Linked DNA regions of Macaca mulatta. The protein of the gene in region 3 interacts with the protein of the main gene of each other region in a pairwise test. Links are inferred from orthologs where the notes say so. Each region holds a gene or a part of one and is shown on either strand. Other genes may lie near its edges.

What was found.
Region 1: the proteins of EWSR1 (region 3) and FXR2 interact in a two-hybrid assay, tested with the Homo sapiens proteins (2 studies listed by BioGRID and IntAct). The link is inferred for Macaca mulatta from reciprocal best matches to the Homo sapiens genes EWSR1 and FXR2.
Region 2: the proteins of EWSR1 (region 3) and ATPAF2 interact in binary tests that used the Homo sapiens proteins (3 or more experiments, as listed by UniProt). The two-hybrid records come from large-scale screens. The link is inferred for Macaca mulatta from reciprocal best matches to the Homo sapiens genes EWSR1 and ATPAF2.
Region 4: the proteins of EWSR1 (region 3) and ATXN3 interact in binary tests that used the Homo sapiens proteins (3 or more experiments, as listed by UniProt). The link is inferred for Macaca mulatta from reciprocal best matches to the Homo sapiens genes EWSR1 and ATXN3.
Region 5: the proteins of EWSR1 (region 3) and PRMT1 interact in a two-hybrid assay, tested with the Homo sapiens proteins (2 studies listed by BioGRID and IntAct). The link is inferred for Macaca mulatta from reciprocal best matches to the Homo sapiens genes EWSR1 and PRMT1.
Region 6: the proteins of EWSR1 (region 3) and MVK interact in a two-hybrid assay, tested with the Homo sapiens proteins (2 studies listed by BioGRID and IntAct). The two-hybrid records come from large-scale screens. The link is inferred for Macaca mulatta from reciprocal best matches to the Homo sapiens genes EWSR1 and MVK.
Region 7: the proteins of EWSR1 (region 3) and PLSCR1 interact in binary tests that used the Homo sapiens proteins (3 or more experiments, as listed by UniProt). The two-hybrid records come from large-scale screens. The link is inferred for Macaca mulatta from reciprocal best matches to the Homo sapiens genes EWSR1 and PLSCR1.

Annotation. Positions count from the first base shown.
Region 1 is NC_133421.1:9,081,700-9,085,199, reverse strand, and holds part of FXR2 (RNA-binding protein FXR2), read left to right. Parts: intron 1-333; coding exon 334-504; intron 505-1,546; coding exon 1,547-1,625; intron 1,626-1,884; exon of another isoform or gene 1,885-1,968; coding exon 1,969-2,078; exon of another isoform or gene 2,079-2,311; coding exon 2,312-2,398; exon of another isoform or gene 2,399-2,697; coding exon 2,698-2,920; exon of another isoform or gene 2,921-3,140; coding exon 3,141-3,338; exon of another isoform or gene 3,339-3,427; coding exon 3,428-3,500. UniProt on the Homo sapiens protein: mRNA-binding protein that acts as a regulator of mRNAs translation and/or stability, and which is required for adult hippocampal neurogenesis. Specifically binds to AU-rich elements (AREs) in the 3'-UTR of target mRNAs.
Region 2 is NC_133421.1:19,594,443-19,597,942, reverse strand, and holds part of ATPAF2 (ATP synthase mitochondrial F1 complex assembly factor 2), read left to right. Parts: coding exon 1-62; intron 63-1,875; coding exon 1,876-1,973; intron 1,974-3,500. UniProt on the Homo sapiens protein: Plays a role in the assembly of the F1 component of the mitochondrial ATP synthase (ATPase).
Region 3 is NC_133415.1:22,286,369-22,290,383, forward strand, and holds the start of EWSR1 (RNA-binding protein EWS), read right to left. Parts: upstream 2,801-4,015; 5' UTR 2,739-2,800; coding exon 2,726-2,738; exon of another isoform or gene 2,720-2,725; coding exon of another isoform or gene 2,694-2,719; exon of another isoform or gene 739-2,693; intron 660-738; exon of another isoform or gene 1-659. UniProt on the Homo sapiens protein: Binds to ssRNA containing the consensus sequence 5'-AGGUAA-3'. Might normally function as a transcriptional repressor. EWS-fusion-proteins (EFPS) may play a role in the tumorigenic process.
Region 4 is NC_133412.1:165,340,782-165,344,281, reverse strand, and holds part of ATXN3 (ataxin-3), read left to right. Parts: intron 1-180; coding exon 181-345; intron 346-878; coding exon 879-923; intron 924-3,014; coding exon 3,015-3,100; intron 3,101-3,500. UniProt on the Homo sapiens protein: Deubiquitinating enzyme involved in protein homeostasis maintenance, transcription, cytoskeleton regulation, myogenesis and degradation of misfolded chaperone substrates.
Region 5 is NC_133424.1:62,129,659-62,133,687, forward strand, and holds the start of PRMT1 (protein arginine N-methyltransferase 1), read left to right. Parts: upstream 1-1,229; 5' UTR 1,230-1,243; coding exon 1,244-1,279; intron 1,280-3,841; coding exon 3,842-3,895; exon of another isoform or gene 3,896-3,899; intron 3,900-4,029. UniProt on the Homo sapiens protein: Arginine methyltransferase that methylates (mono and asymmetric dimethylation) the guanidino nitrogens of arginyl residues present in proteins such as ESR1, histone H2, H3 and H4, FMR1, ILF3, HNRNPA1, HNRNPD, NFATC2IP, SUPT5H, TAF15, EWS, HABP4, SERBP1, RBM15, FOXO1, CHTOP, MAP3K5/ASK1, MICU1 and NPRL2.
Region 6 is NC_133416.1:116,753,281-116,756,780, forward strand, and holds part of MVK (mevalonate kinase), read left to right. Parts: intron 1-46; coding exon 47-137; intron 138-514; coding exon 515-631; intron 632-3,500. UniProt on the Homo sapiens protein: Catalyzes the phosphorylation of mevalonate to mevalonate 5-phosphate, a key step in isoprenoid and cholesterol biosynthesis.
Region 7 is NC_133407.1:49,526,796-49,530,776, reverse strand, and holds the start of PLSCR1 (phospholipid scramblase 1), read left to right. Parts: upstream 1-1,181; 5' UTR 1,182-1,331; intron 1,332-3,981. UniProt on the Homo sapiens protein: Catalyzes calcium-induced ATP-independent rapid bidirectional and non-specific movement of phospholipids (lipid scrambling or lipid flip-flop) between the inner and outer leaflet of the plasma membrane resulting in collapse of the phospholipid asymmetry which leads to phosphatidylserine externalization on the cell surface.

The DNA.
Region 1 (3,500 bases), on a different chromosome or scaffold from region 3:
CAAAAATACAAAAATTAGCCAGGAGTGGTGGTGGACACCTGTAGTCGCAGCTACTTGGGAGGCTGAGGCATGAGAATCAGTTGAACTCGAGACGCGGAGATCGCGCCACTGCACTCCAGCCTGGGCGACAGAGTGAAACTCCGTCTCAAAGGAAAAACAAAAAGTTCCTGACCTTTCCACACAGGTCCTGGTGGTCGGCGGACTCCAGAGTGGTTCTAGCTTTCTGTTAATATCACATAGTTTTCCTTATTGAAGTTATGCTAAGGGTCATGTGCCTGGGACTGTGTTCTGAGATTCTACCACCATGATTCCTACAGTGACTTTTCCTTTCAGACAAGCAAGCAGTTGGCAGCAGCCTTCCAAGAGGAGTTCACAGTGCGAGAGGACCTGATGGGACTGGCAATTGGGACTCATGGTGCCAACATCCAGCAGGCCCGAAAAGTACCTGGGGTGACTGCCATTGAGCTGGGTGAAGAGACCTGCACTTTCCGCATCTATGGGGAGGTCAGCAAAGGATGTCTTTCTTCTGGGTCTCTTAGTGGATAGAGGGAAGAGAGGCCGAAGTAGAAAATAAGCCTCAGGCTGGGCACAGTGGCTCACACCTGTCATCTCAGCACCTTGGGAGGCTGAAGTGGGAGGATCACTTGAGCCTAGGAGTTTGAGACCAGCCTGTGCAATATAGTGAGACCCAATCTCTACAAAAATTTAAAAATTAGCTGGAAGTGGTGGTGCGTACCTATAGTCCCAGGTACTTGGGAGGCTGAAGTGGGAAGATGGAGGGGAGGATCGCTTGAGCCTGGGAGTTTGAGACCAACCTGGGCAACATAGAGAGACCCTGTCTTTACCCCCGAAGAAAACCAAAAATCGTTAACTGAGCATGGTGGCATGCATCTGTGGCCCCAGCTACTTGGCTACTTGGGAGGCTGAGGCAGGAGGATCACTTGAGCCTAGAAAGTCGAGGCTGCAATACACCATGATGGTGCCACTGAACCAACTTGGGCAATATAGTCAATAGAGTGAGACCAAAAAATAACAAAAATAGACCAGATCTGTGTCGCCCAAGCTTGTCTTTAACTCCTGGCCTCAAGCAGTCCTCCCTTAGCCTCCCAAACTGTTGAGATTACAGGTGTGAGCCACTGTGGCTGGCCAAGGTCCTCTGTTTTTTTGTTTTTTTTGTTTTTTTAAAGTTATTTATTTGTTTAATTTATTTCTTTATGAGACGGAGTCTAACTCACTCTGTTGCCCGGGCTGGAGTGTAGTGGCATAATCTCAGCTTATTGCAATGTCCACCTCCTGGGTTCAAGAAATTCTTCTGCCTCAGCCTCCTGAGTAGCTGGGATGACAGACGTGAGCCACCATGCTTGGCTGATTTTTTGTATTTTTAGTAGAGATAGCGTTTCACCATATCGCCCAGGCTAGTCTTGAACTCCTGACCTCAAGTTATCCGCCTGCCTCAGCCTCCTAAAGTGCTGGGATTACAGGCACGAGCCACCTCACCCAGCTGGTCTTCTGTTTTAGTAACAACTCCCCGCTGTTCTTCCTTTAGACTCCCGAGGCTTGCCGACAGGCCCGAAGCTACCTGGAGTTTTCTGAGGACTCAGTGCAAGTGCCCAGGAACCTGGTTGGTGAGTTGGTGGCGTGTATATACAGTTAGAGGTCAGAATCAAGATTCTCTACAGTGATTCTGAGCTTGTATCCAGGATTGGCACCTCCCTGTGGACTCTCAGTTTCACAAGGACAGAGAAACAGTCTGTAATGGGAGTGATAAAAATGAAAGAATAAATTTCTAGGGATTGTAACATTTTGTCCTGTAAAAACACATCAGAAAACTAGAAGCAGGAGAATGAAGTAAATGGAATCCATATAAAGAAAATGAGGCTGGAAGACGGTTTATCAGCTTTATTCTTATTTCCTAAAAAAAAAAAAAAAAAAAAAAAAAAGGCTTAATTCCTCCTTTACTTATTCCAGGCAAAGTGATTGGAAAGAACGGGAAAGTGATCCAGGAGATTGTGGATAAATCTGGTGTGGTGAGGGTTCGAGTGGAAGGGGATAATGACAAGAAGAACCCCAGGGAGGAGGTATGGGTACGGGGCAAGTGGGCATAGAGATTGGTTTCCAGAAGTAAATGGGATTGTCCTCTTAGGGCTGGGATTGTCCTTTGAGAGGGTGGAGTACGGAAACTTGTTTAACCCTAGTAGATTTAGAGTCCAGAATGATCCCACTGGGCAGGTTCCCCTAGGACACTGGGCGGGGTTAATCCTTCCATTTCATTTTCCTTTCTGATCCATCGTCTCTGCTCTCTGCTCTCCAGGGAATGGTTCCCTTCATTTTTGTTGGCACCCGAGAGAACATCAGCAATGCCCAGGCTTTGCTGGAGTATCACCTTTCCTACCTGCAGGTACCCAGGCTGGGAGAGGACAGAGCTGGGTGTGGAAAGGGTTTGAACTAAGACTGCTGTGGGGGTCAACTCAGGAATTTTGGTGCTCTGTTTGTCTCTCCATGTAGAACAGAAAACATTTGTGGAAATTTGGGGCTATAGGGTTGGGTCCCAGAATTTTCCTTGTTTAGCCAGCGTCTTCCTTCTCCTTGCATTCCTAAGAGATTAGATATAGAGGGACAGTCAGGGTGGAGAAGCATGAAGAAAGGCACTGATCTTGTTTCTCCTTTCGCTTCTTCTTCCGTCTTTTACCCAACCAGGAGGTAGAGCAGCTTCGCTTGGAGAGGTTGCAAATTGATGAGCAGCTTCGGCAGATTGGGCTGGGCTTTCGCCCTCCTGGGAGTGGGCGGGGCAGCGGTGGCAGTGACAAGGCTGGATATAGCACCGATGAGAGCTCCTCCTCCTCCCTCCATGCGACTCGAACCTATGGGGGCAGCTATGGGGGCCGTGGCCGTGGCCGGAGGACAGGCGGTCCTGCCTATGGTGAGACAGCTTGGGAACAGGAGGCAGGGAGTGGCAGGGCTTGTGGGTAGAGGCAGAGGTCTGGATGGAAGTTTGGGGAAATCTGGGATGGAGATGATAAAGAAGTGATTGATTGGCTGGGGGACTTGTGAGTGAGAGGGAGAATTCTTCCATTTTGGGGAATGTGATGGATCCTGAGGTAGGACGAATGGCCGTGAATAAATCCCACTGTGTTCTTCAGGCCCCAGCTCAGATGTGTCTACAGCTTCAGAGACTGAGTCAGAGAAGAGAGAGGAACCCAACCGAGCTGGGCCTGGCGACAGGGATCCCCCAACCCGAGGGGAAGAAAGCCGGAGGCGGCCGATTGGGGGCCGGGGTAGGGGACCCCCACCTGCCCCCCGGCCCACTTCGAGATATAATTCTTCATCTATTAGCTCAGGTACCAGACAGCTGGGTTCATGAATATGGGCCAAAACAAAAGATGATGGGCACCTGAATGCCACCTTCTCCTCTTCTTCCTCTGACCAGTGCTGAAGGATCCAGACAGTAATCCCTACAGCCTATTGGACACATCTGAACCAGAGCCCCCGGTTGATTCAGA
Region 2 (3,500 bases), on a different chromosome or scaffold from region 3:
TTGCAGTGGCCACTGAATGGGATTCCCAGCAGGATACCATCAAGTACTACACCATGCACCTGGTAACAAGTTCACAGTGCGAATCTGGACCCTGAGACCCACCCAGGGCTTCCTAGGGTAGATCCCTTACCAAATTCTGACAAGGCCCTGGGGGATGGTCCTTTGCCTACCTGGGCCCCAGGTGTTCACCTCCTCTCGAGTCACTAATGTGCTAAACTCTTTCCTTGTCTGGCCTGGCTACTTGCAGTTCTCTCTCCTAGGAACACTGTGCTGGATGACTGGTTTCTCCTTTGGTTTCAGGACAGATGTCACCTTCACTGACTCCCCAGCTCTCTTATTTTCTATGACAGCAGCTGGCCATTTGTTTTGTCAGCACTTAGACAATTTATAATTGTTTTATGTTTGCACATTTATTGTCTGTCTGTCTCTACTGCCTGGTAAGCAACAGAAAGGCAGGAGCCATGTCTGTTTTACTCACCAGTATCTGGACAGCCACTAGCAGGTAGTTTAGTTGGTACTTAATAAATATTAGTTGACTATAAGACCCACTGGAGGCAGATGGGTGAGGTGAGGAAGACTCCCTATAGAACCAGAGCCCCTCGTCCACACCAAAGTGGCTCATCTAGGCACCAAGGCTGCCTGGGGAAGGAAGGGCCCAGCCAGACTCATTGGTCCAGCCTCTGCAGCTTCTAAACTGTAACCTTGGGCAGGTTGCTGCCCCTTTCACAGCCCCGTATTCCCCATCTCCTAAAGATGAGTGATAATAGTACCCACCTCACAGAGCCATGGTCAGGATGAGATGAGATGATGCAAGAAAGCCCTTGGCATGGTCCCCAGCACTGACTGGGCACTGAGTCAGTGTAGGAGTCAGCTGCTGTCATCCCAGTCGCTGCTGTGCTCAACCTTTGCAAACTCACATGGGCCTCCTGCCAACATCACAGCCTGCTGAGGTGCTGGCCTAATCCTTGACAACCTAGTGAAATTGGGGTGATTGGGGCTACAAACGAATAGGGTAACCTAAGCAGCCTGTTATTGACAAGGTAAGTCTGGAAAAAAATAATATATATATATTTTTTTTTAAACAGAGTCTCGCTCTGTTGCCCAGGCTGGAGTGCAATGGTGCAATCCCAGCTCACTGCAACCTCCGCCTCCTGGATTCAAGCAATTCTCCCGTCTCAGCCTCCCAAGTAGCTGCGATTACAGGCGCCCACCACCATGCCTGGCTAATTTTTGTATTTTTAATAAAAATGGGGTTTCACCATGTTGGCCAGGCTGGTCTTGAACTCCTGACCTCAGGTGATCTACCCATCTCAGCCTCCCAAAGTGTTGGGATTACAGGCATGAGCCACCACACTTGGCCAAAACAAATAATCTTAGTCCTGATTTGCATGGTCTGTTTCCCTCCTTTCTAAGGTGTAAGGGAGGCAGCTGGTAAAGGTTTCCCGTCAGATTTGCGCTCCATCACTGATACGTGTCTTATTAACTGTATTTGATGATGTACTTAACCTAACCTGTCTGGGCCTCAGTTTTCACATCTCAGATGGGCATAATAATAGTACCTATTCCAAAGGGTTGTTGTGAGGATTAAATACACTAGAACCTGGTAATAATGTGACTGTGGGGAGGTTCACTAATCATGGGGCTGCTGCAAGCTTCCCTCAAGTCCTGTGAGCATCGACAGAAAGCATTTGGCATGGAGCCTGGCTGTGGCACACTCTCAGTAGCTGTGCTGCTGCTCCGGTAGTGCAGATGCCTCTGGTGGAGGGCTGTGCTGTGGTGCTATCTGCTATGTGTCAGATGAGGTGTCCTCAGGAAAGCAGGGCTTTTGTCTGAGCCCCACAGGCAGTGACAGGGTGGTTTTTGCCTTTGATTCAGACCACATTGTGCAACACATCCTTGGACAACCCAACCCAGAGAAACAAGGATCAGCTGATCCGGGCAGCCGTGAAGTTTCTGGACACTGACACCATCTGGTAATGGACATTTAGATGGGCATTCCCCTTGGATTGAGACAGTCCCTGGGGCTATTTTTCCTGATTTGTCCAGATGGTTATCAGTGGAAGAAGAAACCCTCTCCATTTATTGCAAGGACAGGGAAGGTGGCCCACTTGACTTTGGCATTTGGCTGCTCTGTAGCCCCTTAGGAGGAGGACTGCTCAGGCTACAATGGTGTTAGAACATGGCCACCCCTCTTCTCTAGCCTAGAAGCTGCTCCTTAGGCTGGGAGGGTGGTTATGCAGCTCTTGCAGGTGCCGTGACCACAGGCCCCTTAGGCCTGGGGGCGCCTGTGACCTTAAACTTCTGCCCACTGACACTTTCTCAGGTAGACATCCTTGGCACTATGGATGCTGATAAGTAGGAGTGTCCTTCTCCAGTTCTGAATTCTCCTCTGTGTCTATATATCTTGGCTAATTGGTCAGTGTTGCCGAAGGAAAGTTGAGAAACAATGGAAATGATTGAGCAGCACGGTGCTTGCTAGCCCAAGTGCTCTAGTATCCTGAGTCATCTCACGATGACACAGGAAGTCAGCACTGATGACTGGAGGCATGCTTTCGAAGTGGGTGGCCCATAGCTAGTGGGAAAGCCCGCTCCATTTATATTAGGTTCACTTGACTTCAGGGAGCAGAAACCCATTCAATCTAGCTCAGACAAAAAGAGGATTCTTGAAAACTATACAGGGATCCTGACAGGAAATGAAGGACGATCGGGCCACCAGGAAAGGGAGCTATAAGATCCAATGTCAGAGCTCCTCCCTGTGCCCTATTGGGGTGAGCGGAAGGTGAGGGAGGAAAGGTTGGCTGCCCATCTGCCCCTCCCAGCATAACTCATGACCTCTCTTCCCCACGTTGCTTACACAAGATGGTGGATTTCCATAATGCCCACTTGGGTTCCCATCCCATAAAACCCTGCAGCTCAGCTCCCCTCAGCTGACTCATGCCTGTGTCTCTTGGTCAAACAAATGACACAGCCTGGCCTCTAGCTTGGTCCCATCAGGTCTGGCATCTGTGCCAGCAGCTGCATCTGTAGCCAGGAGGTGGATGGGCTTGTGAGGTGTAAACAGGCTATTTTGGTCTGTGACCAGGGGCACAGTCTCTTGGAGGGGGTGAGGGTAGAGATGCAAAGACTGAGCATCTGGCACAGCATTCCCATTCAGCATCCAGGTCAAGCGGGTGTGGACCCAGGGTTGCAGTTAGTAGATTGGATCTGCTTTAGAATGACAGTAACATAGCGCAGCAAGCTTGGACCTGTCAAATATTTGGGGGCATTTAGGGTAGTGGTTCTCAAACTCAGGCTTACATTAGAATCCCCTAGAGGGCTTGTTAAAACAGATTGCTGGGCCCCACTTCCAGAAGTTCTGATTCTATAGGGATGCAGCCTGAGAATGTGTATTTCTAATAAGTTCCCAGGTGATGGTGGTGCCAGGGCCACACTTTGAGAACCACTGCTTTAGGGGAAAAGACTTGTGGGACTGGGATGGTGGTGGTGAAATTTTTGTTGTT
Region 3 (4,015 bases):
TTGACAGCTCTTTATTGCATCCACTTCACGCAATCCAAAGCCAGCCTCACAATCCCTCGGGCGGCCTGAGAGAGCTTTGCTGAATCCATCTCTTCACGTTGGCTTATCTGTCTACCCCTCTATACGTTAGTGGACTACTTTCTTTCCTTTGTACACACTCGTAACTCAAAACCCTGAATCACCAAGAGGATCAAATCAACTGCCCAAAGGCTACCTATAATGAAAAAATAATTTGTTCATGGCAATCTTAAAGGCATTTTCAATAGCACTACAAGTCATACTCTCTGTGACATTAAAACTAAATGCAAATCATTTCTTCCACGTGGCATATACAAAATATACACAGCAATGAATCATTCAATATCAAATATTTTAATCCACGTTTTGTTAAGGTCTTTGAGAAATGATTCTAAATCACCGACATGTAAGTACAGTTTGCAAGACGACTTTTACACAATAGCAGTTATGTAAAACATAAAACTGGCAAAGCTGATATGGAACAACTAATGACCTCTTAACAGTGAGAAACCAAAGGATTCGGCCCTATACTAACTGGTGGGCTATGGAAGGTAGCAAATTTGTTTCATGAACTTACGTTTATCTTCCTAGAGCACACAAACATCACTGGACCTCAAACAAGCTATTAGGTTGGTGCAAAAGTAATTGCGGTTTTTGTCATTAAAATGGCAAAACTACAATTACTTTTGCACCAACCTAATACAATTACAAACTGGTCAGATTATTCAACAACCGTGTTTGTTTTTAACCCCCAAAAGTGAGCCAAAGACTTCACTAAAAATCACTTCACTGTGATTGAGGGGTGGGGGTTCTAGACTGCAGCGAGTCTTTTCTACATGAGATACACACGAGGAGAGAAAACCTCTATTATTATTAACCCAAGGCAATGCTTTAACACTTTACAGCAGTCACTATGGAAGTTGCTTCACACTACCTGAGTTGAAGTCAGCATGGGACAAATTTGTGGAATGGTTATGCAGGAAGGTCAGAAAGGCTCAAAAGCTTAACAGGTCTAGCCTAACTTCTGTATTTTACAGGAAAGGAAACTAAGGCCCAGATTACTTATGTGACTCTCTGAAGGCCCCCCAGCCAGGCCTAATGTGTTTACTTTGTGTCAACAGAAACCACAACTGTAATTCTAATACAGTACAAGCACATGGTAGTTACTAGTGAACAAGGTTTGAACAAAGTTGACTGAAAAAAAGACATGTCCGGCCATGCAAAAATGTCAACGCACACGTTATGCCTTTTCAGGCTTTTGCAGAGGAGAAGAGGGTGGATAGGGCACCTAGGAAACCACTTTCCACCAGGAGGTTTAGCTGTGGTATTTCAGAGTCCTCTCTTCTACAGGCCTTCTTTGGTATCCCAGCAAGAACACCCAACACTTACCTGTTTACTGACCACACAGATGGGGTGAATTCTTAAACTGTCCTTAAGTTGCTGGATTCTGGACTCTAAAAACTCTGGAGGGTCCAGAGCTTTTCCCGTCTTCCCTCTCATCTTCTCCCACTGTCTCTAAGGCCTGGAATCAGGTGGCCTGAGAATACCCCCAGAGGCAAAAATGCTCCAGCCTGCCAATTTCCGCGGGTTAGTGTACCCACAGCTTGCGAACTGCAGGTGGTGGCTAGGCGACACTCTTAAATGCTCCTTCCATCAATGACCACTCTACTCCCATTTAGGAGTTCCCATCCGGGGCTTGCTTTCAAGTGCCTTTAAGATCGCCTCTACTGGCCTCTTTTCCCTCACCTCTGTCGACCTACGAAATCAACAGGCCTGCCGGCCTAACGCAGGCGAATAAACGTGCGAGACCACTGCTGAAATATAATTCAAATGCAGGCTCGGCCTTTTGTTCCTCCTAGGTCAGAGAGGCCAGAAATACCTTCCTGGTAGCATTCTCGTCTCTCGATCCAGGCTGGTCTTATTATACAACGGATGTCCCTCGGCGTTTGCAGAAAAAGGGCCCTGGGAAGCCACTTAATTGGTTTTGGGGGAGGGGAGGGCGTGAATTAATAAATAACGATAAAAATAGAGAAACCCAAAAAAGTGGCAAACTGGGGGCCCTGGAGGAGGGAAGCACATTCTGTCTAAAGCCCAGGAGGGCAGAAGTTCGGCTTGGGGCTGGAAGACGCCGAGGGGGCAGTTCGGCAGCGCCAGACGCCCCAGCCGACTGGGCCTTAAAGATGACGGGGCTCCCGCTCATAGGCCGGCACCCCTCGGCCCACAAATCCACGGTATCTTTCTTTGCTTTTTTCCCTGGTTTCTCGGGAAACCCTGAAAACGCGGAGGGAGGCCTCACAGGGATAGCAGCCTGCGGCCTCCCCGGCGGTTTCACAGTGACCGGCTCGAGGCCTGGCCAAATCCTCCGCTTCACGCAGGGCCTCGAAGGCCGCAGGCCCCGCCCACGTGGCGGGAGGCCCGGAGCGCAGGGCGCGAGGACCGCCACACAATGGAGGCCAAAGCGGGCCCCGCGCGCCACCGCCGCAGCGAGCCCCCTGCGCGCCGCGGGCGCCGGAAGATTCCAGAACCGGCCCGCCCGGTGGGGGGAGGGGAGAGGAACGCGGATCCCCGAGCTCGTCGGGTCGCGGCGGGTGCCTCAAACCCCTCTCGGCAACTCCACTCAGTCTTCCCAGCCAAGCCCAGAGACGAACGACCCCCAGTTTGGGCGTTCCGGCTACCGCCAGCGCGACCGCAGTTCCACCATACTCACCCGTGGACGCCATTTTCTCTCCTTCCTCCTCGTTCTCTCAACGTCCGTCTCCCTCTCGCTTTCCCTCTAGGCGCCGCAATGCGCAGGCGCAAATCCCGCAACCCCGGGCGCGACCATCAGGCCAGGCCACGGGGGTGGGGTCAGGAGGGATGAACCACCGCTTTCTCGTTCTTCGCGTGCGCAACCCTTGTCCCAATCCTCTCTAAAGAGCGCCCGACGTGACACTCGGGCCAAAATAGCACCTAAGGGGCCAGAGCGCCGGTGAGCGGGTCTCAGTGTGAAACCGGAGAGGCTCTCTTCACGAGGCTAGGTTGTTTGGAATGGTTCCGTCCGCTGGCTCTAGGGACCGTCGCTGAAGAGTCTGCCCTGCAGGCAGACGGAGATCGGCGGGAGGGCTGGGGGAAGGGACCCGGACTAGAACAACTGCTGACTAATCCGCGGGCCGCGGGGAATGGGTGGCGCGCCAGCCGGTCGGCCGGGGTCACGCGGCCGGGTGTGCGCGGAATGGATTCAGGGTTCCCCGATCTCGCCCGGGAGCTAGAGTCCCGACTCCCAGCCCGGGTCCCCGACCGGCGTTTCGGGGTTGCTGGGCGCGCTCTGCAGTGAGTACCCGGGACGCGTGGCCCGGGCCAGCGGGGAAGGGCCCCGAGGCCGGTCGGCTAGGTGGGAGGCCTCGAACGCCGTTTCTGGCCCCGAGACCCCGTCTCCGGTAACGGTCGAGGTGGAGCACGCCCTTTAATCATCCCTCATCCAATACCCTTGTTTCTACAGAAGGGGAAACTGAGGTCCAAGGAAATTGAGTATCTTTGCAAAGTCCCCAGCTGAGTTCGAACCAGACAGATCCTGGGACCCCCTACTCTATCCGCCACCCGGAAGAATCTTCGTCCTTGTCTTTCCATTCTGCCCTCCCGGCTTCCCAGTAAGGTAGGCAGGGCCTGGTGGTGCACTGCCCGTTTCATAGATTGAAGAAAGTGAGGTCGAGGGGGCTCAAGTCCCAGTTCCGAGTGTCCACGGGCAAGCCTTTCACCCTTGCTAAGGCGCCCAGAGCTGGGGAATGGTTGTGAGGTGAGGATACAGGAGGAGGTTTACGGTGGGTGTCTTGGCCCCAAACCCTGCCTCCAGGCAAGGCTGGCCCTGCCCACCTCTCTGGACCTCTAACCCCAGCCCCCTAGCTGGATACCCGGGTCTACGAAGGGCAGGGTTCACCTTCAAATCCCTCAGCAGGACCAGGAGTCAAGCTAGTGTCCTTTTTTCAGTGAACATATATAAAGCACTGGTTGTGTGCTGCGA
Region 4 (3,500 bases), on a different chromosome or scaffold from region 3:
AACCCAGGAGGCAGAGGTTGTGGTGAGCCGAGAGTGCTCCACTGTACTCCAGCCTGGACAACAGAGCAAGACTGTGTCTCAAAAAAGAAAGAAAAGTTAATGATTAAATTATTTAGGGGAAAATACTGTGCAATTCTGTTTAATAAGTCACATTTTAATTTTTTCTTTTGGAAATATTAGCAAGAAGGCTCACTTTGTGCTCAACATTGCCTGAATAATTTATTGCAAGGAGAATATTTTAGCCCTGTGGAATTATCCTCAATTGCACATCAGCTGGATGAGGAGGAGAGGATGAGAATGGCAGAAGGAGGAGTTACTAGTGAAGATTATCGCACGTTTTTACAGGTACTGATGTTAAACTCACTAAGTCACATTTTCTTTTTTTTTTTTTTTGAGACGGAGTCTTGCCCTGTTGTCCAGGCTGGAGTGCAATGGCGCAATCTCAGCTCACTGCAACCTCCGCCTCCTGGGTTCAAGCAATTCTCCTGCCTCAGCCTCCCAAGTAGCTGGGATTACAGGCACACGCCACTATGCCTGGCTAATTTTTTGTATCTTTGTAAGAGACGGGGTTTCACCATGTTGGTCAGGTTGGTCTGGAACTCCTGATCTCGTGATCCACCTGCCTCAGCCTCCCAAAGTGCTGGGATTATAGGTGTGAGCCACCACACCCGGCTTACATTTCTTTTAAAAACGTAGATACTATTTAGAAAAGGATGTGCCATTCTTCCTATAGGGATCTGACTGGTGAATTATAACTGCACTGTTAACTTTGGAAATGGAAATGCAAAGATGTTATTTTAAATATGCACGCTAATGACAGTTTGTATCCTTCTTTCCCCACCCCCACGCGTGCTTCAACTACCTGTCAAAATTAACAGCAGCCTTCTGGAAATATGGATGACAGTGGTTTTTTCTCTATTCAGGTAAGTAGTCACAAGCATCTACTATGTGTTGCTTACATCCCAGGCCCCGTTTCACAGCCTTTCAATAGTCACTATAACAAGGCGACCTTCAGAAGTTCTTCTAATAGATCATGTCTACAGAGTATAAGATTATACTCTAGATCACCAGATTGTGATCCACCTGCCTCAGCCTTCCAAAGTGCTAGGATTACAGGCATGAGCCACCATGCCCGGCCAACTAGAGTACTAGATTTTTATATAGATAAACATGAAAGGATTGTAGAATCTTCATATTAGAGTGGGGCATTTAAAAATTCCTTTTTGAGAAAGATTATTTAATTTGCATCTGGATGCTAATAATAACCTTAATTCTGGCCAGGCATGGTGGCTCACACCTGTAATCCCAGCACTTTGGGAGGGCGAGGTGGGCGGACCTCAGGGTCAGGAGATCAAGACCATCCTGGCCAACATGGTGAAACCCTGTCTCTACTAAAAATACAAAAATTAGCTGGGCGTGGTGATGCAAGCCTGTAATCCCAGCTACTCTGGAGACTGAGGCAGGAGAATCGCTTGAACCAGGGAGTCAGAGGTTGCAGTGAGCCAAGATCGCACCACTGCACTCCAGCCTGGTGACAGAGCAAGACTCTGTCTCAAAGAAAACCAAATACCCTTAATTATAATAAGTCCCAATGTCTCAAACTTACCATTTGTTGGGTAAACTTAAGAAAATGCAGTACCTTGCTACCATCCTTTTAAATCAGCCTACCAGACTGGATTTCCTTATTATGGTCTGTGGCTTTTGATTTTTCTCTTTGAGTTCTTTGGTGGTTATATATATGTACTTGAAAGATTCTTTTATCTGCATGTCTTTCATTCTTTTCTGACACTGTGAGTTGTATCCAGAGGTCTTTCAGAACCTCTCCTGAGCGACCTATCTCTGCAGATACCTTTGTTTGTATTTCTCTTGTACTGCCCTCCTGGACTCCTCCTCATCCACCAGCATTTCCATCTAGTGCTTTACCGTGCCACTGTTAACAGGTAATGGCTACTGCAGGGCTGGAATCAGAGGTCAGAGTAGGCCCAGCACTTGGCGTTTCCTATTTGTGCCTTGCTGCTCTTGGTACCCACTGCCTTGCACTCACTTTCTGTCTTTGCCGGTACCTGGTTGACTTGCTTCTTTGTTGGCTACCTTGGAGGGTAGATAGTGAATTTTCAGAAATTTCCCATTTTTTGTCAGACAGATTGAAATAATCAGGTTTGCATTTTGTTTTTTTCTACAAGTGGCAAGCCCATGACCCTGGAAGTCTGATACCTATGGAAACTTCAGTTTAAGTGCCCAGGGAGAACTTATTTTGGTAGACACGATTTCTGACATTGCAAGTAGTAAGTTGAATATACATTTTCTAAAGTAGCACCCACGGCAGCCAAATTACCAGATGTATATAGTAGACTAGTTTTAAGAATAGCACTTATGGGTAGAATATACATACATCTGGATTTTTGAGACAGTTTTATGTAGGAATTGTGTGGTTTTCTGGAACATCTCAGAGACCTGGTATGAAAAGCACTCTTCTAATATATATGTGTATGTTTTTTATGGATTTAGTGATATATCTATACACACACACACTTTTGAAAACCTATAGCCGGCTGGGCGTGGTGACTCATGCCTGTAATCCCAGTACTTTGGGAGGCCGAGGCGGGCACATCACAAGGTCAGGAGTTTGAGACCAGCCTGGCCAACAAGGTGAAACCCTGTCTCTACTAAAAATACAAAAATTAGCTGGGTGTGGTGGCGCATGCTTGTAATCCCAGCTACTCGGGAGCCTGAGGTAGGAGAATCACTTGAACTCAGGAGGCAGAGGTTGCAGTGAGCCGAGATCATGCCACTGTACTTCAGCCTAGGCAACAGAGCAAGACTCTTTGTCTTAAAAAAAAAAAACAAAAAAAAAAACAAAAAAAAACCTGTAGCCTTCTAGAGAAATTTATATATGAGGTACACAACTAACATAGCTATACTTCTTAAAGTGTTTACACAACTGACATAGCTATACTTCTTCAATTTGGAATGGAGTGGTTTGGCTTATGAAAAGTTACTATTTTTCTTAACAGGTTATAAGCAATGCCTTGAAAGTTTGGGGTTTAGAACTAATCCTGTTCAACAGTCCAGAGTATCAGAGGCTCAGGATCGATCCTATGTAAGATTTTGTTTTGCATTTCATACATTTCTTTTCCCAAATTTGATTTTTAAAGATATTTCTTAAAGAAGAGAAATATATTTGGAATACTTGTGTTTTGATGTTCCCTGTTTCATTCCCTCAGACTTTCCTATTTCACCTTTGTGATGTCCATGAGCATCTGCCCTGTAGCCTTCCTGGCACCCCAGTGTCTGTGGCAGCACAGAGCTGCCCCGTAAGTGGTGCGTGAGGCCATCTTTTGGCCCGGCATCACTAAGCTGCTGCAGAGACGTTCATATGGTTGTGTGATCTTTTAAAAACATCAGTGACACTTAACTGTAAATCTAATCTTAAATTATCACAAATTTTATATAATGTTTGCCAGTAGACAACATAAGTATGAATTCAATATTTCAAGTTA
Region 5 (4,029 bases), on a different chromosome or scaffold from region 3:
AATGGGCGTTTCACCATGTTGGCCAGACTGGTGTCGAACTCCTGACTTCAAGTGATCCGCCCGCCTCCGCCTCCCAAAGTGCTGGGATTACAGGCGTGAGCCACTGCGCCCGAATCCTATCGGAAATTTTTAAGTCTCAGGCGTTTGCCAGCGGCACGCCAGAGAGTATAGCCTGCACCGAGGCCCAGAAACCAAAGAGCGAGCTCATTCCGGGATTGGAGAGGAGTGTGAGCGGAGGGAAGCAGAGGGATCAGAGAGAGGAGGGGCAGGACCCACGCATTCGGCCCTTTGCATTCAGCCTCATTCAACTAGGAACTTTTCCTGCAAATCAAGCAAAGCTTCCCGGAGGAAGTGGTGCCTAAGCTGCGCTCTGATTCTCGTTTAGAAGCTGACAAGACAAAGAGAGGTGGGCGGTCCTGGCAGGGGGAGGGACTCGGCAAAAACCAAGTACCTTGAGAGGGGTTGATGGGTTTTAAAAACTTTGAATGATTATGTCAAAGGCTAGGGATTTAATGTGTTGACTGCGGACTCCTATTCCTCACTTGCTTGGGGACCCCAGCGATGCCATTCCTCTCTCTGGGCCTCTCACTGATTCAGTTTTTCTCCCAGGTAATGAGCACAAGCTCCCTTTTTCCTCGAGACTCCCCCCGGGTTGGGAGGATCCACCGAGTGGACTAGGCGTGATCGTTCCTTTGAGCCAATCGTTGGTGCCTGAAGCCCCGCCTTCTTCCCCACCCGTGGGCCAATTGTCGTGTTCTCCTTGAGACTGGCCGCTTGGCGAGGGTGAAAGGCCGCGTGACGTCACTTCCGGATAAACCAATGGCAGCGATTAAGAGGCGGGTCGTTTTGGTGATGGACAGTTGTTTCAAGACGCCCCTTTAGCGCGGGGCTCCCCGGGAAGCTTTGAGGCGGTGCTGGGGGTAAAGGGGCGGGCATTCCTCGTGGATTTTGCCCAATCACCAGTCGCGCTTCTTGCAATAGACGGGCAGTTTTCCCCATCTCGGGTCGACTTGAGGGGGCGGGATTCTGGACGCCAGTGTTGGCAAACCCCTGACCTATGATGGACGTATTCTCCAGCCAATTATCAGACGGTATTCTCAGACGGGCCGCCTCCATTGCCAATGAAATCTTCCAGCGGGGTCGCGGTAGGCGGGCCGTGGACCCTCTGGTATAAGGCGGTCCCGGGGGAGTGAGGAGAAAGGGGGGGTCTTGGCGGCTGGAGGAGGAGTAGTTGCGGGTGAAGATGGCGGCAGCCGAGGCCGCGAACTGCATCATGGAGGTGAGCGCTTGGAGCGCCGCCGTGGGCGGGGGTCGGCTTTGGGTCGATGTTTCACGCCTCTGTGGTGGGGAAAGGGCTCTAAGTTGGCGACATGGGGTTGGAGGTCCCCCGCCGCACACGGGGGCGCCGCACGCTCCACATCCGGGGATATCGTTTGAGGTGACGGCTCCCTAGCTTTCAAGGGCCTTCGGCATCCGGCCTAGCGGAGGGTCTTATCCCCCCTCCCACGTGGAGGAGGGCTGGGGGCGCTTCCGGCCAGGCCCCCACGTGGCCGCGGCGCGGTGGGTGGGGAGGGGGTGTGCCGAGTCCGGTGGCCCGGCGGGCTCCACGTGCGGGACAAAGGCCCCGCCCCCGGCCGGGGAGGGGCGCCCGGGGGGGCGGGGAGGGGGTCCGACCCTCCTGAGGCCCCCAGCCCTCCTACCCAGGGACCCGGGCACACGTCGTGGGGTGGGATCGACCTGGGGCCCTCCACGATGTAGAGTGTCTTTTGGGAGGAGCAGTGCCTTTTACAACCTCCTTCCGAGCTCCAGGGGCATCTATTGGGATATCGGCCCTGGATTTGTGCGTTCTGGATTAGGGACTGGAGGAAAACCAAGAATGGGGCCCCCCTGACCCCATTTCCCCTCCTAGAGTTCTCCCCCTCACCCAGGGCTTTAGGTGTTGGGGGATGGGGCATGCCCCTGTGACCTCCCTCTGGGTGGTGGTGGGGCATCTAGATGGAGATTTTCCCACTAATAGGCGCCGTGCACCCCCTTGTGGCCATTTCTGGGTGTGTGGGAGGGACATCTTTTTCATGGGGCGTGTCCTGAAGCCCACCTCCCGTCGGATTTCTTCCTGGAGGGCGGAGGGAGGAGGGTACGTCCGCTGGGAAGGAGTTGTGGGAAATACGTAGGCTGAGAGCTTTACCCTCTGCTGGAGCGCTTTCTCTCTCCTGGGCCTTTGTGAGGGCGGGAGATGACCTCCCCCTTCCTGAAGCCCTGTGTAGGGGTCCTGAGCCCCGGGGTCCTGAGGGTGGGTGCCTGAAATGGTTTCAAGTGAGGTTTGGTTCTCGTGCAGCCATGTGGGGGAGGTTTCAGTCTTGCGTTTTAAGCCTTCGGGCTGGGGTTGTCTGGCAGTAGTTTTCAGTGGTGGTGATAAATGGGCCCCAGCGGGAAACCCCCGCAGCACCTTTCTTATAGGCATCCCCGCTGGCTTGGGAGAGCTGGGGGGAGGGTGTTTGGAGCCTAGTAGGTCATGGCCAGTGACGTGGCCCTTCTTGGAGTGGTCACATCTGGAAGAGATGTAATCTGATGGGGCCTCTGTCCTTCCACCCCTTTACCCATGGCATTGACTGGGGGGGCAGGTCAGCTGTAAGCTGTCAGGATGCAGCTCCCAGGGGTCACTGTAATGACTTCGCACCCTCTTGGCTGTCTCCTGCACCTGGGGCTCTGTGGGCGGAGGAAATAACTTTCCCAGAGGTGGCCTCAGGCTTGGCCGCACCTGGAAGTCTTCAGGACCTGGGATGGGTGTCTGAAATGGGGGCGATGGGCTGACTCCCCAAGCTACTTTTTTTTTTTTTTTTTTTTTTTTTTTTTGAGACGGAGTCTTAATCTGTCACCAAGGCTGGAGTGCAATGGCTTGATCTCGGCTCATTGCAACCTCCGCTTCCTGGGTTCAAGCGATTCTCCTGCCTCAGCCTCTTGAATAGCTGGGATGACAGGCACCCGCCACCAGGCCCAGCTAATTTTTGTATTTTTAGTAGAGATGGGGATTCACCATGTTGGTCAGGCCGGTCTCAAACTCCTGACCTAAGGTGACCCACCCGCCTCTGCCTCCCAAACTGCTGGGATTACAGGTGTGAGCCACCGCGCCCCCAAGCCACTTTCTGGAGCCCGCTCATTCTTAAGAGGGTCCAGGAGCTGCCCATCCTCCATGGGACCCTACCTTCGTGGGCAGAGGGTCATAAGGGAGCGGGTTGGTTCCAGCTGGTTTTGTTTGGGGCTCCTGAGTCCAAGGCAGGAGCTGGGGGCTGGGGTACTAGCTCTGGGGAAGTGCCCGTGTGCCACACCTCTATTCTGGAATCCTCTCAGACATGAGACTGGTTTGCAGAGGTGGCAGATGCCCTGTGGGCATACCCTGCCAGCCTCGTTCCCTCCTGCTATTCATGGCACCCTGGGATAGGGGTGTGTGTGTCAGGAAGTGTCACCTAATCTGGGGGAGATTAGGTGATGAGAGGGAGCGACAGCTGGCGGGGGTGGGTGCCAGTTCCCCTGGCCTGGATGGGGGAGGTGTGTGGTCAGCTGCCTGGCCAGAGAGGGGCAACAAGGGGGCAGGCCACCATCTCTCCAGCCACAGCTGGGATAGGAGACCCCCTTTCTTCTCCCCTCACTTTTCCCATCCCTTTCTTAAACACCCCACCTCATTACTTGCCCTCTTTGCCACCACTCCCCGCCAAGAAGGAGAATTGCTGGAAACCCCACCCCCCCCACCCCCCCCCACCCCGCCAGAGCCCAGGTCCCCGCGCCCAGCCCTCCCGCAGCCACTCCCAGTAGCTAATCCTTTCTCCCTGTTACTCTCTCCTAGAATTTTGTAGCCACCTTGGCTAATGGGATGAGCCTCCAGCCGCCTCTTGAAGAAGTAAATATCCTTTTGTGAGACCCCTTCCCACCCCGACCTCCACATCAATATATTTTGCCACACATCTGGCCCTTTCTTGAGGTCTAACCATACCCCTCTTGCTTCAAACCAGTTTACTGCAGGACCCCAAACAC
Region 6 (3,500 bases), on a different chromosome or scaffold from region 3:
CTCCACCTTGAGTTCAGTGTGGACCTTCCTCCTCTTCACCCTGCAGGCCGCCGGCTCTCCAGATCCTGCTGACCAACACCAAAGTCCCTCGCAATACCAGGACCCTCGTGGCTGGCGTCAGAAACAGGCTGCTCAAGGTGACTCTTGTTCCATTCCCGGGCAGGTTTCAGGGTGGCCAGGACACAGTTACATCTGGATTTTCCAGGTTTCCCTCTGGCTGATGGATTCTAGGGGGTGTGGTGGGCCTTGAGGCCCCTTAGAGAGGTGGTTTTGGCAGAAAGGAAGGTACCATCCATACCTGTAGCCTGGCCAGGAAAACAACAGTGATCGGGCTCGTTAGACACACTGACTTTGCAGCTGGGAAGGCAAAAACCAGGCCCAGAAGAGAGGCGGTTTCCCCAGAGGATGGGCGCAGGCTGTGGGAACACCTCCTCCCTCCACCCCACTGCTGGGGCAGCTGTGCTGCATCTGCCTCCCCCAGGCCTCACCAGCCATTCCTTCTTTTTTTCTCTAGTTCCCAGAGATCGTGGCCCCACTCCTGACCTCGATAGATGCCATCTCCCTGGAGTGTGAGCGTGTGCTGGGAGAGATGGGGGAGGCTCCAGCCCCAGAGCAGTACCTCGTACTGGAAGTAAGAGGCTGTCTGCAGGAACCAGGGTTATTGAGTCCACACCACTGTCCAAGGCAGTGGCTCTGCAATCTGGCTGTGCTCAGAATCCCCTGGAAGCCAGCACATAGAGGCCAGGCCCTGCCTCTGGCCTGTGCTCTCAGAAGCCCTTGGCCTGGGCCCAGGTCTGTGTGTGCCACACAAGCGTATGTTATTTTCAGGCCTCTTCCCAGGTGATTCTGAGTAATTGGGAGAGAGCAGGGAAGGAGGTCAGGGCCTGGCTCGTGCTAAGTGCAGTGGAACAGGTTTGGGGTCACGTCTAAGGAGCTCCGGCCCACGTAGGTAGATGGGGATGTGGCTGATAACAGAGCTCTGTCGGTGCAGGCGTGACTTCTTACTTGGTCCTTCTCCTGCTTCATGGGTGCATTCAACAACTACTTGTCAACTGCCTGCTTTGGGTCAGACAGGTCCTAAAATTGTTTTTTCATCATCATAACCCCATCCACTGCCATTTGCATAATTCTAGTGTACAGGTTGTGACCTCGTACTTTGGGTGTGGTTAGGCCTGTGTGTGAATCCCAGCTCTACTTCTGCTGGATGTGTGGCCTCGCTGGAGTGTCTTAAGAATGCTCAGATTAGACGGGCACAGTGGCTCACCTGTAATATAGCACTTTGGGAGGCCAAGGCGGGTGGATCGCTTAAGCCCAGGAGTTCGAGACCAGGCTGGGCAACACGGTGAAACGCTGTCTCTACAAAAAATACAAAAGTTAGCCAGACATGGTGGTGCGTGCCAATAGTCCCAGCTACTCGAGAGGCTGTGGCAGGAGGATCACTTGAGCCCAGGAGTTCAAGTTTGTACCCTGGGCGACAGAGTGAGACCTTGTCTCACAAAAAAAAGAACACTTGGAGTCTCATGGGTGACACACAAGCACAATGTCTGGTGTGCCATGAGCTTAGGGAAGCAAAGGGTCCAGGCTGCCCCTGGACACAGTCTAGCTGGCCTGGTGAATATGGGCTGATGTTAGCCAGCTGGCTGCCCTTGCGGAGTGAGAGGATCGAGTGGTCCCCAGCTGCCGGGGCTCTGCAGCAGCCATCAGTGAAGGGACAGGAGGGGACCCCTTTGAGAGGGGTGTGCGATCTCCATGTCACCACAGTCCCCCCTACTCTGTAGTCATTGCCTGGTGCCTCCCGGTCCCCCTGTGGGCATTCGAGTCTGTAGCCCCTGTGCTGAGTGGAAGCTGCCACTAAAAGCTTTTTACAAATCATTTTTTTCACTTGATCCTCACACCCACCTCCCTGTGAAGTAGGTGTCTTACCCCTATTTCACAGATGTCAAAACTGAGGTCTGAAGGAGGACTTCCCCCAAGGTTATCCGGCTAGTAAGTGGCCGAGCCAGGGGTCCAGCTGACAGACTTGTCTGTCCCTTTATTCAACAGATCTGTCGTGAGCACCTACTATGTGCCAGGGTAGAGCCTCCATTGAATTCCTGCGTTTCTGCCCTCATTCCCTCAGTCTTTGTCTTCCTAGCTCTCGATTCCTTCCACGTAGAGAGGAGGGAGCGCAGTCCTCCCCGAGTAGGAAATTAATAATGATAGAATACTGCCTAAAATACACCCTGTCGAGCCCCTGGAGAATGCCGCAGAACAGCACGTTGATTATACATTGTGTGTATTTTTGGCTGTGGCAGCCGCTGAAATGTGCAACTCGGCTGCTGGACAGCTTTGCACTCAAACCAGCGAACTGTTCTCCTGTGTCACAACCTGTCATCTGATCCTTGACAGATTTTGGATCAGAATGTGACAGGTGTCTGGAACCTGCCTCGGCAACGTGACACCTGGCGCTCAGGCGCAGAGAGCGGCCCCCAGAAGTCTTCTCTCACATCCAGCCCATCGGGCTGCTGAGAGGCACCCGGGGCTGCCACCAGGCCATCAGGCCTGTCAGCTCATTTGTCAAAAGTGCTGAGCTTGGCGCGGGGCGCGGTATGAGGCAGGCTGTCGGGGGGGCCACCCCAACCCTGCCCAACTGGCCGTCCCCACGCGGGACAGCCAGGTAGGCCTCCGCGGAGATGCCTCAGTGATTGGCAGCTCCTGGTATACAGGCGATGCAGGTGCCCCGGAACAGAGCTTCACACAGAAGTGAGGAAAATCAGGAGTGCTCTCAGAGGCAGGGTAGACAGGAGCTTCACGTCAGGCAGACCCGCCTTCCCGTGCCAGCTTGGTACCTACTAGCCCAGCGATCGTGGGCAAGTCACTTCTCTGAGCCTCTGTTTCCCCTTTTGTAAAGTGGGGATGATGGTAAGGTAACCATAAAAGTACTAATAGCACATATCTTGTGCCAGGCATTGAACAGAAAACTCACCTTGTTTCATCTCAGGGCAAAGAAGCAGATACTTTTTTTTTTTTTTTTTTTTTTTTTGAGAAAGAGTCATCTTGCTCTGTTGCCCAGGCTGGAGTGCAGTGGCGCAATCTCGGTTCATTGCATCTTCCACCTCCCAGGTTCAAATGATCCTCATGCCTCAGCCTCCTGCCTAGCTGGGATTACAGGCATGCGCCAACATACCTGGCTAAGTTTTGTATGTTTAGTAGAGACGGGGTTTCGCCATGTTGGCCAGGCTGGTCTCGAACTCCTGACCTCAAGTGATCCACCCGCCTCAACCTCCCAAAGTGCTGGGATTAAAGGCATGAGCCACCACACCCTGCTGAGGCAGATACTCTTATGACCCTGGTTTACAAGCGGGAGACAGACCCAGCGCAGAAGACCTTGCCCGAGGACACACGACCAAGAAGGGGCAGCACCGAGACTCAAACACAGGCCTACTTGACTCCAAACCCCGTGGTTTTTACTTCCTGAAGGCTGGGACTGTGGCTGGGCGTCCATCCTTAGAGCCCCAGCA
Region 7 (3,981 bases), on a different chromosome or scaffold from region 3:
AACCTGCAAAACTGCTTTGCCACATGGAGACCAAGCACCCTGCGTTAAAAGACAAGCCTTTGGAGTTTTTTTGTTTTGTTAAAACAAACAAACAAACAAACAAAAAAACAGAAACCATGAAAACATGAACACAAAGAACACATAGAAGCAATTATTGAAGGCCACCACGTCATCAAATGTGTCTGCACTGACAGCATCAGTATATATTACAATGTAACAATAATAGAAATAAAGTGCACAATACATACAATATGCTTGAATCATCCTGAAACCGTCTGCCACTCGACCCTGGTCCATGGAAAAATCCTCTTCCGTGAAACTGGTCCCTGGTGCCAAAAAGGTTGGGGACCACCGGTTTATCCAGGGTCATCCAGGTTGGAGTAGGGTCAGGAGATATGGGGAAATTTAGGTCAAAGAATTCAAAGTTACAAACATGTAGGATGAACAAATGGGAAGACCTAATGTACAACATGAGGGCTATAGTTAATGATCGTGGTATTCAGGATTTATGCTAAATGAGTAAATTAGAGCTGCTCTTGCCCCAAGGGGGGAAATGTGTAATTATAGGAGTTGATGGATATGTCATACGCATAACTTAAATACAGACAATAAAAACTATTTTAGTTTAAAAAGGAACAATATTTATTAAAAAATAAGGTGAGCTCTTAAAAACATTTAAATAACTGCCTAAAAAAATAAAAAATAATATCACATAATTTAATAGAAGGAAAGAAAGAGCAAGACAGCAAGAAAGAAAAGGCACCATAAAAAAAAACAATTTTGACCACTCCTCATTTGTAGTCTAAGCTGCCTCTGCTTCCTTGCGTTGAAAAGCCACGGGCTTCCGAGGGATGGAGGTCAAAGTCAGAGTAAAGAAAGTTCCCGGGGGAGGCCACTCCCCAGCTGATGACTTTCCAGTTCCAGTTAGTGACAGAGTCCCAGTTCCTCTCCTTAACCACCGGTCAAAAGTCTCTGGAGTCTCTCCAATGAGCAAGAAAGCAAGTCGGGGGTAGGGGAGGGGCCTCACAACTGGTGGTGGGTGCAGTCCCTCCTCCAGCTTCTTCATCCTGCAATAGTCCCGCGGGTCCCCCGGCGCGAACGCGGGAACCAGGAAAAGGAAACCGCGTTGTGTACGTAAGATCCAGGAAACTAAACCAGTAGCCGCGGCTGTTGGCGCAAGGGTTACTCGCAGACCCTGTTCCGGCTGATTTCCGAGAAGGTTGCGCAGTAGCCGTGCCTTGCAGTCTAGAGGCGCAGGAGAGGAAGCCACCGCCTGACCCCGGCTCTCTAGACCTCGGCTCTCTCGGGAGCGGAAACAGCGGCAGCCACAGGTGCGCGAGCGGCTTTCTCTGCCGCCTCCCCGGGGCTCGGGCGCGAGAACTGCGCGGAGCCTGCGCTGGGGCCAGGGCCGGGATCAGGTGTGGGGGCCAACTTACGGGGAACGGGCGCGAGGGCCAGCCGGTTGTGTTTGCTGCTCTGGGGGTGGAGGATGTGGGGTGAAGGCTGGGGCCAGAAATGCAAGAGACCTCTGAAAGGGACCCTGTAAGTGGAGCAGATGCACGGCAAGGGGCCCCAGGCGGCCCAGCGGCACCTGGGCTCACCCAGAATCATTCGAATGAAAAGGGGTGTCCTGCCTGAAAACGCCTCGCGGGGCTCGGCTTCCCCTTAGCTACACTGCTCTACAGGCAGAGAGCGGCGCTGAATCCTGGGCAGAGACTGGGCTCGGGAGCATGTGCCAGCATAGTGGGGCTATTAGAAGGGACGGTTAATACAGCCTGCAAGCTGGCATTTATCAGTAAGTATTCACTGAAGTCCGCCTGGAGCCCACATCTATGCTAAACCCTCTACAATACTAGCTTGGAAAAGATAGCGGCGGTATCTAGCACGGTTCCTAAGACCATTAGCTCCAGTCAGGCTCCCCGACTTGAAATTTGGCCTCTACTGCTTCACATCTGTGGATTGTCAGCCACTTTCTTAATATATATTCTTTCCATTGCCTCATCTCTGAAATTGTGTAACTATTAAAAGAGCTACAGAGTATTATATGTGTTAATGTAAAGTTCTTAGAGCAGTGCCTGGCACTACAGAAAGTACTCAGTGAAAGTGAGCTTTTATTATTTTAAATATTTGACAAAGTTCCTGCTTCTCCAAGCTGACTCTCCGGTTCCCATGTGGTTTCATTCATGCACTGTTATTCCTGGAAGTCTTGGCATGGCCACTTCCCAGTTCCAGGAACAGGCAGTCGTTGTTTTTTTTCTGGCTTATCACATTGAGATACATGGTTACTACAAGTGACACTTAAACGTGTCAGGCAGTTTGGGGCCTCCTTTCTTGAACTTTTCCTAAGAGCAAACTTTTCCCTTAATGCCACCCTGTTTACAACCATAGTAGGGCTTTGAACAACGAGAAAATGCAGGGAAATGAAAGACATATAAAGGGAAATGAATGGATTTCTGCAGTTGGATAGCAAAGTGGCATGTGAAATAGCTGGTTTATAGATCAAACTGCCTTTAGATCTGTAAAGGAGCTTAGAGTACAGGTGGAGAGACATCAAATGTGTGCGAGCAGACGCTTATGTACCTCTCCGTCTTCATCTCTAAGAATGTCTCCCTCTTCTGCTCTGTAACCTCACTGGTCTTCCTTTCCTTGAATGAGGCATGTTCCTCCAGCTCAGGAATTCTATCTATGAAGTTCCCTGTCTCTATAATGCCCTCCAACACCCCACCCACCATACCTCCGTAGACTAGTTGATTTGAGATTTCCTTCAGCTCCCAGTCTGACTTTTCTTAAACCCCCTACCACTGTTTAAGTTAGTGTCCTGTAACCCTTTCTTGTAGCAACATTAATTTTATTGATAGCACTTAGAGTGTTTATAATAATCTATTACATTCTTAATTGTCTGTCTCCCTAGTGTCTAGGTATTGTGCTCTAGTGCCTGGTATAGTGCTTTGCATGCTCTATGCCTTCAATTAATTCCTTAAAAACCACACCAGCTTTATATTTAGTGAATATTTATATAGGAAGTATTTCTATATGTATATATGTGTATCTGTGTATATACACACTCTATAGCACTACCCTGAATAGTGCTAAATTAAAAAGCCAAAACACTTTTTAGTTAATCAGAACTAACAGTTGCACTCTTCAGTTTTCCATATGTTCTTTTAATAAGTCATTAGAAAAAAATGATGTCTCCATATGTTGTCTGCTGCTGTAGCAGAATACCTGAGACTTGGTAATTTATAAAGGACAGAAATTTATTTCTTACAGTTCTGGAGACTAGGAAGTCCAACATAATCATGTGTTGCTTAAAGACAGGAATACATTCTGAGAAATGCATCATGAGGCAATTTGGTGGTTGTGAGAACATCATAGAATTTACTTACACAATCCTGGATGGTATAGCCAGCCTTCTATTTAGGCTGGGGTGGTGGCGTGGGGGGTGTTGAGGAGAGTCAGATTGAGAGCTGAAGGAAGTCTCAAATCAATTAGTCTATAGACGTGTGTGTGTGTGTGTGTGTGTGTGTGTGTGTGTGTAGTGGTGGAGGGCATTATAGACAGAGGGAACTTCACAGGTAGAAGTCCTGGGCTGGGTGTGTGTGTGTGTGTGTGTGTGTGTGTGTGTGTGTAGTGGTGGAGGGCATTATAGACAGAGGGAACTTCACAGGTAGAAGTCCTGGGCTGGGTGTGTGTGTGTGTGTGTGTGTGTGTGTGTGTGTGTGTGTGTGTGTAGTGGTGGAGGGCATTATAGACAGAGGGAACTTCACAGGTAGAAGTCCTGGGCTGGGGGTGTGTGTGTGTGTGTGTGTGTGTGTGTGTGTGTGTGTGTGTAGTGGTGGAGGGCATTATAGACAGAGGGAACTTCACAGGTAGAAGTCCTGGGCTGGGGGTGTGTGTGTGTGTGTGTGTGTGTGTGTGTGTGTGTGTGTAGTGGTGGAGGGCATTATAGACAGAGGGAACTTCACAGGTAGAAGTCCTGGG